Linked DNA regions of Cricetulus griseus. The protein of the gene in region 1 purifies or fractionates together with the protein of each later gene. This does not show direct contact. Links are inferred from orthologs where the notes say so. Each region holds a gene or a part of one and is shown in the gene's direction. Other genes may lie near its edges. The genes, in order: Tulp3 and Ift43.

Region 1 (3,893 bases):
GCTAATAAGTGTCTCAGTGTTCCTCTCACTCATACAAATAGCATCTCTTTCAACCCTTCTCTTTTAGCATCCAGCGCCTGCAGAGCTTATGCTGCCCTTTATATGGGTGAGAATTTGATGCACAAAAAGTGAAGCAATCCAGGGAGGGGGCTAAGTGAGTGCAGTGTTCTGCCCTCCTAGTCTACGTATGTACCATATTTCCTAGTTTTCAAAAGTTCATTTCTGAGGGGTCGCTCAGCGGTTATGAGTGGGATGCCCAGGTTCTATGTGAGAGCCTTGGGCACCAGGATGCATATGGTACGCAGACATACATGTAGACATAACATCCATACACATGAACTAATAGCCTGGAACATGGAGACACTTGCCTTTAATTCCAGCACTAGGGGGCAGAGGCAGTCAGATCTGAGTTCCAGGCCAGCCAGACTATGTAGTGTGAGATCTTGTCTCTAAATAAATACATCAATTTTTTAAAAAGTAAAAATTTGAATTCGGCATCAATGTGGCAACTTTGGCTTTACAGTTTAAGTCTACGTGCAGTAGCTCTAGTCAGCAAGTCCTATAGAGACCAGAACCAGAAAGGAACTGATGCTGGAGGCATGAGTTACTGCAGAGAGGTCAGGCTTAGCAACCTCCCTTATGGGATAAGGATATAAGTCGGTCCCCAAGTTGGGGTCCCTCAGTCGGGTTTTGGGTGAGGGTTGGTGTTGCAGTCTGAAGGCCTTGGGCATCCCTGCCTTGCGGCAGAAGTTCGCAAATCCCTGGACCACAATCCTTGCAGCACCCTGGGTGTTCTCATTGCGACAGTGGGGTCCTGGGAGTCGCTCTGAAGGAGGCAGCCGAGGAATGAAGCAGCAGGAGACACCCTCGACGGCCAACTGGGATCCAACCCGGGGGGTGGGGGTGGAGGGGCGCACCCCGCTCCCGCGCACGCGCCTTCGCCTCCCGGTGCCTCCCGCCCCCTGGAAACCCTCCAGCATCGCGGCTGGCGCCCTTAGCCAGTGAGAGGGGAGCGGCGGGCAGTGGACCAATGGGCGTCGGCGACAGTGCGGGGTGTGGTTGCCAGGGGCGGGGCCCGACCTCCTCCATCCTCTCCAGCCCGGCCGCGGCGACTCGGGGGTCTGGACGCTGATGCCACCGGCCGGGCGGGTATGGAGGCGGCGCGCTGCGCTCCGGGACCCCGCGCGGACAGGTCAGGGGCGGGGGCGAGGGTAGCGGAGGGGCGGGTGGGGCTCCAGGCCGGGCGGGGGTGGGGTGGGGGCAGGACCGGGTCCCCAAGCAGGGCGGGCGCTGTGCATCCCGCGCCGCCAGCACTCTCTCGTGCCGCTCCCTCGGAGTTTGTCCTCCGAGTTTGCCCGGACCAAGCTCGCCCTGCTCCCCCAGGGTCTCCGAGTCCCTCCCTTGCAACGCGTTCTCCCTTCACCGTTCCTCCCTGGAGCAGAGTCAAAACCGAGGTGGAACGAGGTCCCTCCTGGGAGTCGAAGCGGAAGGTCGCGGGCGATGGTTAATTGGTTCCAAGGCCGTTGCTTTTGGCAGTCATTGCGGAATTCTGGAACGGAGTCCGAGGGCTGAAAATGCAAAACTGTTCTTTTCTTCTTCTCTCTTCCCTTGAGTTCCAGAGCTCTCTTATTCAGGACGGCCTGTCTTAGTTCAGACTGTGCCTTGCCTCTTGTTTGCGCCCCCTCTCTCTGACTGGTCCACAGGGTGATCCTGGGGAAACAAATGGGGTGCCGCCTCAGAATGTTCGTTTGTCGTCAGCTGGGCTAACGAAAAGTTAATGGGGGGCCCTGTGAAATCATTGGTTCAAAACTTTGGAGTTGTCTGAGGATTGAAATCAAACATTTCAACTACATTCTTCGTTTGCCATCCCATCACCACTGCAAATAAAGACTTGGTGTGTAAGGATTTAGTCTGATGTTTAAGCTAGTATTTAACTGACTCGAAACCATCTTTTAAAAAGTTACGAAGACGCTGGAATAGAACCTCCCCACCCCCCTCCGCCGCCGCCCCAACGTCGATCTCAGGCCAGCTAGGCTCGCCTCAGACTTGCTAATGAGGATGACTTTGAACTTCTGATCCTCCACCTCCGCCTCCCAGTGCTGGGCGCTTTTAGCCTTTCATCAGTAAATTCTATACACATGATAGCTGCTACCTGAAATGTGTTTACATCCCCCCCCTTTTAGAACAAAAAAATATATTTACAAGTATAAGGTCGGGCTATTAAAATTAGTATTCAGCGTCTCTGATTAAAATCAGTTGATATCTCCCGGTGGTGGTGGTGCACACGTTTAGTTCCAGCACACTGGAGGCAGAGGCAGGCAGACCTCTCTGAGTTCAAGGCCTGCTTGGTCTACAGAGTTAGTTCCAGGACAGTCAGGGCTACACAGAGAAACCCTGTGTCAAAAAACCAAATAAATAAATAAATAAATAAATAAATAAATAAATGGGGGGATTTGGTTTTAATTTAATGTATTTAGAGAAGTAAATTTCATGGTGATATGGTTTTAGTTTTATTCTTTTTTCTTGCTGTTTTTATTTTTTGTTTGGAGACGGGTCTTATGTAGCCTTGGTCAGACTGGAATTCTCTATTTAAACCAGGCTGACCTTGAACTCGTATAGATCTGTCTGCCTCTGCCTCCCATGATTCATGACTTTAGGGAACAAGAAGAACTTGACTTTGAAATTAGGACCAGATGGCAGTTTTTTTTTTTTTTTTCATTGCCTGAACTTGAACCTTAAAGGTGTAATTTTAAAACCTCACCCCCCAACTTTTTCTTTCAAAGAAACCAACTCATTAATTTTCAGTTGTCATCCATGTGAGTCACTATTTCTCTTGCCCCAGGTAGATAATGCTGCTTTTGTCACTGTTGGTAAAAGGCAGTGAAAGTCTGGTTTTAGGGTAATCATTTATTGAGAGAGAGAAAGAGAGAGAGAGAGAGAGAGAGAGAGAGAGAGAGAGAGAGAGAGAGAGAGAGAGAGACTGACTTGGGATAACCCAGTAATCCAGGCCAGCCCCAAAATCAAAACCCTTCTGCCCGAGCCTGCCTAGTGTCTCATTGGTGTGGATCACCAAACCTGGATGTTCGTGTGTACTGAGTTTTGTTACTTTTTCAAGATGGTCTTTATAATTTGGGCTCGAACTCTTAACGTTCTGCTACAGCCACCTCCCTGCTGCTAGGATTACAGGTTTGCAGCACTACTATGTCAAAGATAGAAGCCAGGGCTTCAGGCTTAACTCTCTCTCCTTTAGTCCCTGCACTTGAGATGCAGAGGCCGGCAAATCTCTCTGAGTTCAGGCCAGCCTGGCCTACATAGTGAGTTCCAGTACTACCAGGGCTTTGCAGAGATACCCTGTCTCAAAAAAAAAAAACAAAAAAACAAAAAACAAACCAAAAAAAACCAAAAACAGTTATCATTCATGAATTGTGGTAGGGGGGCTACAGCATAAATATGGAAGTCAGAAGACAATTTTGTGAAGTCAGTTCTGGGTCTGGGCATGGAACTCTAGTCACCAGATCTTTGGGCCAAGCCCCGTCACCTCGAGCCATCTTTCCAGTTCCTATACTCTTTTTTTTTTTAAAGATTTTATTTATTTATTATGTATACAACATTCTGCTTCCATGTATATCTGCACACCAGATCTCATAATGGATGGTTGTGAGCCATCCTGTGGTTGCTGGGAATTGAACTCAGGACCTCTGGAAGAGCAGTCAGTGCTCTTAACCTCTGAGCTATCTCTCCAGTATATAGGTTCCCCTAGTATCAATGCCTTTAGTTGTGTGGGTAACTGATTTTTTTCCCTTTAGATTATGTAGCTGTTTGACTGTCTTACCTAACAGAGCAGATTTCTTTTCAACAAAGGAAAAAGGTTATTAACAAGCAGTTTTTCAGAT
Region 2 (3,911 bases), on another chromosome or scaffold:
GCTATCTGTCCTCCTGAGTAAAGGAGCTATTGTTGATCACTTTGTGGTGTTGTTCAGATTAAATAAGACCCCTAATGTTGTATGCTCTTTTTTTTTTTTAAGAAGAAGAAGAAGGAGGAGGAGAAGGAGGAGAAGGGTCTCACTGTGTTGCCAAGGCTGGACTCAAACTTCTGGGCGTACACGATCCACCTGAGTAGCAGTGACATGACTTCTGTCACCATGTTCCACTATATTTATACTTTTAAGAGTGATTAGTGCTCGGGTATTGGATATTTTAATCTGTCCTCTAAATAAACTTTGCTTTCAAACACAGAGTTTCATGTAACCCAGTCTCACCTCCCAAACTCACTATGTAGCTGAGGATGACATTGAACTCCTGATTTTCCTGACTCTAACTCCCAAGTGCTGGAATTACAGGCATGCATAAATAAACTTCTTAAAGGCAGAAATCACATACTCCACATTTTTGCAAGTCCTTGTAAACGTTGTAAACTTTATTACTTAGTGTTCATCTGTCAAATGGAAATAATACTACGTGTTCTGCCCTCCACAGTTGTTATATCCTTCACTAGAGCAGTATTTTAAAGGCCTTTCTACATTTCGAATGGGAGGGGTCAGAATAATCAACAGTGGTGCCTGCTCTCACTCATAAACATATTTAACCATATGTAGGCAGTCCCAAAGGCTAACCTAGCTGGAGCATCTGGAGCGGATTTTGGCATCTGGAGATTTGTTTTGTTTTCCCTAAGCCAAGCAAAGCTGGTTTAGAAAAGACCTGGTTTAAACTGGAAGGTGACATGCAAGACCCAGAAACTGTGAGGCGGGCTCTTTAAGGTGGAAGGGCGGGGTCGTTGTTAGGGACGCGGCGCAGAGTCTTGTTTCCAGGAAGTGACATCAGCGGCCGCGGAGATGGACGATTTACTGGACCTGGGAGAGGAGAGACGTCGCAGCTCGGCCACCTCCGTGAGGAGCGATGATGGGGGCTGGGGGCTGGTTCAACGGGTGGGACAAGTGTCGGAAAAACCCGGAGTCGGGACAGATCTCGGCTCAGCTGCCGGAGTGCGAACCCCGTCTTGACCGAGGGTGTGCGCCCCGAGCCACGCCCGCCCGAGCCCTGGAGTCTAGTCCCCGGAAGTTCTCCCGAAAGCTGCTAGGAAGAGAGGTGGCTGGGATTGTCCTTTCCTCTCTTAACTCCCCTTCCCAGGATTGGAAATGAATACTCCAGTTTATTACGTGTGTGTGTGTGATAACAACTGGGCAAAAACAACAACAAAACCGTTGATGGGCCAGAATACACCTAGCCCAGGATTCCTTGCTGGTGGAATGGAGGCGGCTGTGGCTGAGCAGGTGAAATTGGGTATTTACCGCAGCGCCTGACCTTCGCTGCTGGCCATGACCAGCATCTAGCCAGTAGATCATAGAACTTGATTAAAGACCTACATTCAGTGTTTTCTGACTGTCAAAGCCTCTAGATCTCCAAAGCTTTTAGAGTTAGTTGAGACCACTGAAAGATTGGGTCACCTGGCAAGTCCTTAGATTCTCCTGTAAAATCTCAGGTGTTTTGAAGGGCTCTGGTAGCATCCGATGCCCTCCAAGGTGCTAGAGAGGCCCCAATGGAGGGAGATAAGATGGGCAGGAGCCAATTGGTTGAGCAGGGGTTTTTTTATTTTTGTTTTTTAAAGCTAAGGACAATAGGCCATCGGGTCTTTCTGATACATGGACCTTTTTAGTAACTGGGATATCAATGTAGTGATTTAGTCATTCGTTTCACAAATGTGTGTTGAGCCCTACTATGTATCAGACTTTGTTCTAGTCAGAGAACGCAAAGTCACTGACCTTTGCCTTGGGGGTGGTGGTGAAGACAGTAAACAGATTGCCCTTAAAGTACGGGATCTCAGGTTGTAAAGTGGTTTTCTATGTTGCCAATTTATAGCGTCTTCAAATATCTCCAACTTTAACAATTGTTAGAGCAGTCGCTTGTCAACAGCATCTACAGATACCGTCACTAATCTCTGTTTTAAGGTAGCCACTGTAGGATCAGTACCATCCCGGAGAAGGGAATGAGCTGGTATTATCAGAAAGATTGTTCACACCACCCTTGGAAGATTGACATCCCAACTTGAAGGATTGATAAATGCAATCTGGCACCCAGATCCTACTTTAGTGGGGTTTTTTTTGTTGTTTGTTTTTTTCTTTTTTTTTTTTTTTATGCAGCACTCCTAAAAACTTTCCTTCTTAGAACACTTAGCACTGAGTTTTCAGCGGGGTGAGATGGGACAAATCCAGGATTCAAAGCCCCAAGAAGACTCTGCTACATAATCACTTCCTTGGGCCTCAGTTTCCTCTTTTATGGTGTCAATTTTGGTCTTTGTCCATACTATGATGAGATTCAAACAGAGCCACAGTAAAGGAGACTTGAAAGTGCTATGCTATGCTGAGTTTTATTTTTTTTAAGTAAATGATCATTCATAGACACTCTTCACTCATTATTATGCCGCAGAGTTTTATTTTTGTCCTGAGGAATGTTGGGGACAGAGCCCCTACCCACTTGGAGGGCTTGGGGAACGCCTGCAAATGCTTCATCAGGTGACTCAGAACCTTGAAGTGCTCTAGTTTCCAAAGGTGATGTCTCAGCATTCCTGTGCCCCTCTTCCCGCCCCACCCCCACCCCCACCCCACCCCAGGCCCAACAGCAGAGCAAGAGTTCTCTCTAGATGGGCTCCTCTGGTGTCAGTTGCCATGAAATTGAGGAATTCTCCCTGAAAGCCTGTCTGGTAGCTGTCACTCAAGTCCTGCCTAGGATGGTGGGAGCCTTTACCATCCGCTCTGAGTTGTGGTTTGAGGCTTCTGCCCAAACTAGCTGTGTTTTTATCTCTGTGTTAGGAACTTTGCTTTTGCTGTAGCTGGCTTTTGCAAATCTCATGATCAAAAACCTGTATGTTTCCTGTTCTGCCAAAGAGAACATTGTCTTGGGTACTTTCTCATAAAGATTTAGAGAATTCTCTGTGAATACCAAATCCTGCTCTCTGCCATGCCATAAAATTCCAGTCCTGGCTTACCATTCTGTCATACTCACAGGGCCTCAAGTGCCATTGGATCATTTGTGCTCTGGTCTCTCCTTGCAGGGGGCCAAGATGGGCCGCCGAGCTCAACAGGATTCAACACAGGCTGAGAGTTACTTGAGTAACAAGAATTCTTCATTGACTCAGACTGGAGAGGTGAGTGCTACAAAGACAGAGAGGAAACAAGAAGGTGAAGAGAAATGCCGTTTAAGAAGAAATGAACCCTTGATAGTAGGGTTGTGGTCCTCTATATCTGGTTGGAATGCCAGCTGCCTACATGTCTTGATTTGGGAGTTCCTTTCTAGGTCATTGACCTACTGGACTCTGGACTTTTTTTTTTCTTCAAACTCATAATGTACAGTTTTTATTTTATTTTGTTATTTCTTTTTATTTGATTTTTGACTTTTTGAGACAGGTGTGTGTGTGTGTGTGTGTGTGTGTGTGTGTGTGTGTGTGTGTGTGTGTGTTCGTAACAGGCCTGGCTGTTCTAGAACTCACTCTATAGGCCAGGCTGGCTTCAAACTCACAGAGATCCACCTGCCTCTGTCTACCAAGTGCTGGGATTAAAGGCATGTTCCTCTACCACCTGGCTTGTTTTATTTTTTAAAGACAAGGTCTCAAGTAGGCCAGGCTTGTGTGGAACTCACTATGCAGCTGAGGAGGACACTGAATTACTGATTCTCCTGCCTCTACCTCCTGAAAGCTGGGAATACAGGCATGAACTGCCATGCCCTGTTATTGCAGGTGCTAGGACCAGGCCCAGGACTTCATGCATGCTAGGCAAGCTCTCTACCTACTGACCATATCCCCAGCCTCGTGGAGCTTTTAATGCCACCTGAAGTGAGGGAC

Evidence for each region.
Region 2: the proteins of Tulp3 (region 1) and Ift43 purify together in Homo sapiens (affinity purification with mass spectrometry; 5 studies listed by BioGRID and IntAct, counting the BioPlex papers as one, with this or other methods). This does not show direct contact. The link is inferred for Cricetulus griseus from reciprocal best matches to the Homo sapiens genes TULP3 and IFT43.

Annotation. Positions count from the first base shown.
Region 1 is NC_048601.1:18,064,251-18,068,143, forward strand, and holds the start of Tulp3 (tubby-related protein 3), read left to right. Parts: upstream 1-1,040; 5' UTR 1,041-1,151; coding exon 1,152-1,192; intron 1,193-3,893. UniProt on the Homo sapiens protein: Negative regulator of the Shh signaling transduction pathway: recruited to primary cilia via association with the IFT complex A (IFT-A) and is required for recruitment of G protein-coupled receptor GPR161 to cilia, a promoter of PKA-dependent basal repression machinery in Shh signaling.
Region 2 is NC_048598.1:117,719,523-117,723,433, reverse strand, and holds the start of Ift43 (intraflagellar transport protein 43 homolog), read left to right. Parts: upstream 1-970; 5' UTR 971-973; coding exon 974-1,162; intron 1,163-1,170; exon of another isoform or gene 1,171-1,212; coding exon of another isoform or gene 1,213-1,347; intron 1,348-3,125; coding exon 3,126-3,218; intron 3,219-3,911. UniProt on the Homo sapiens protein: As a component of IFT complex A (IFT-A), a complex required for retrograde ciliary transport and entry into cilia of G protein-coupled receptors (GPCRs), it is involved in ciliogenesis.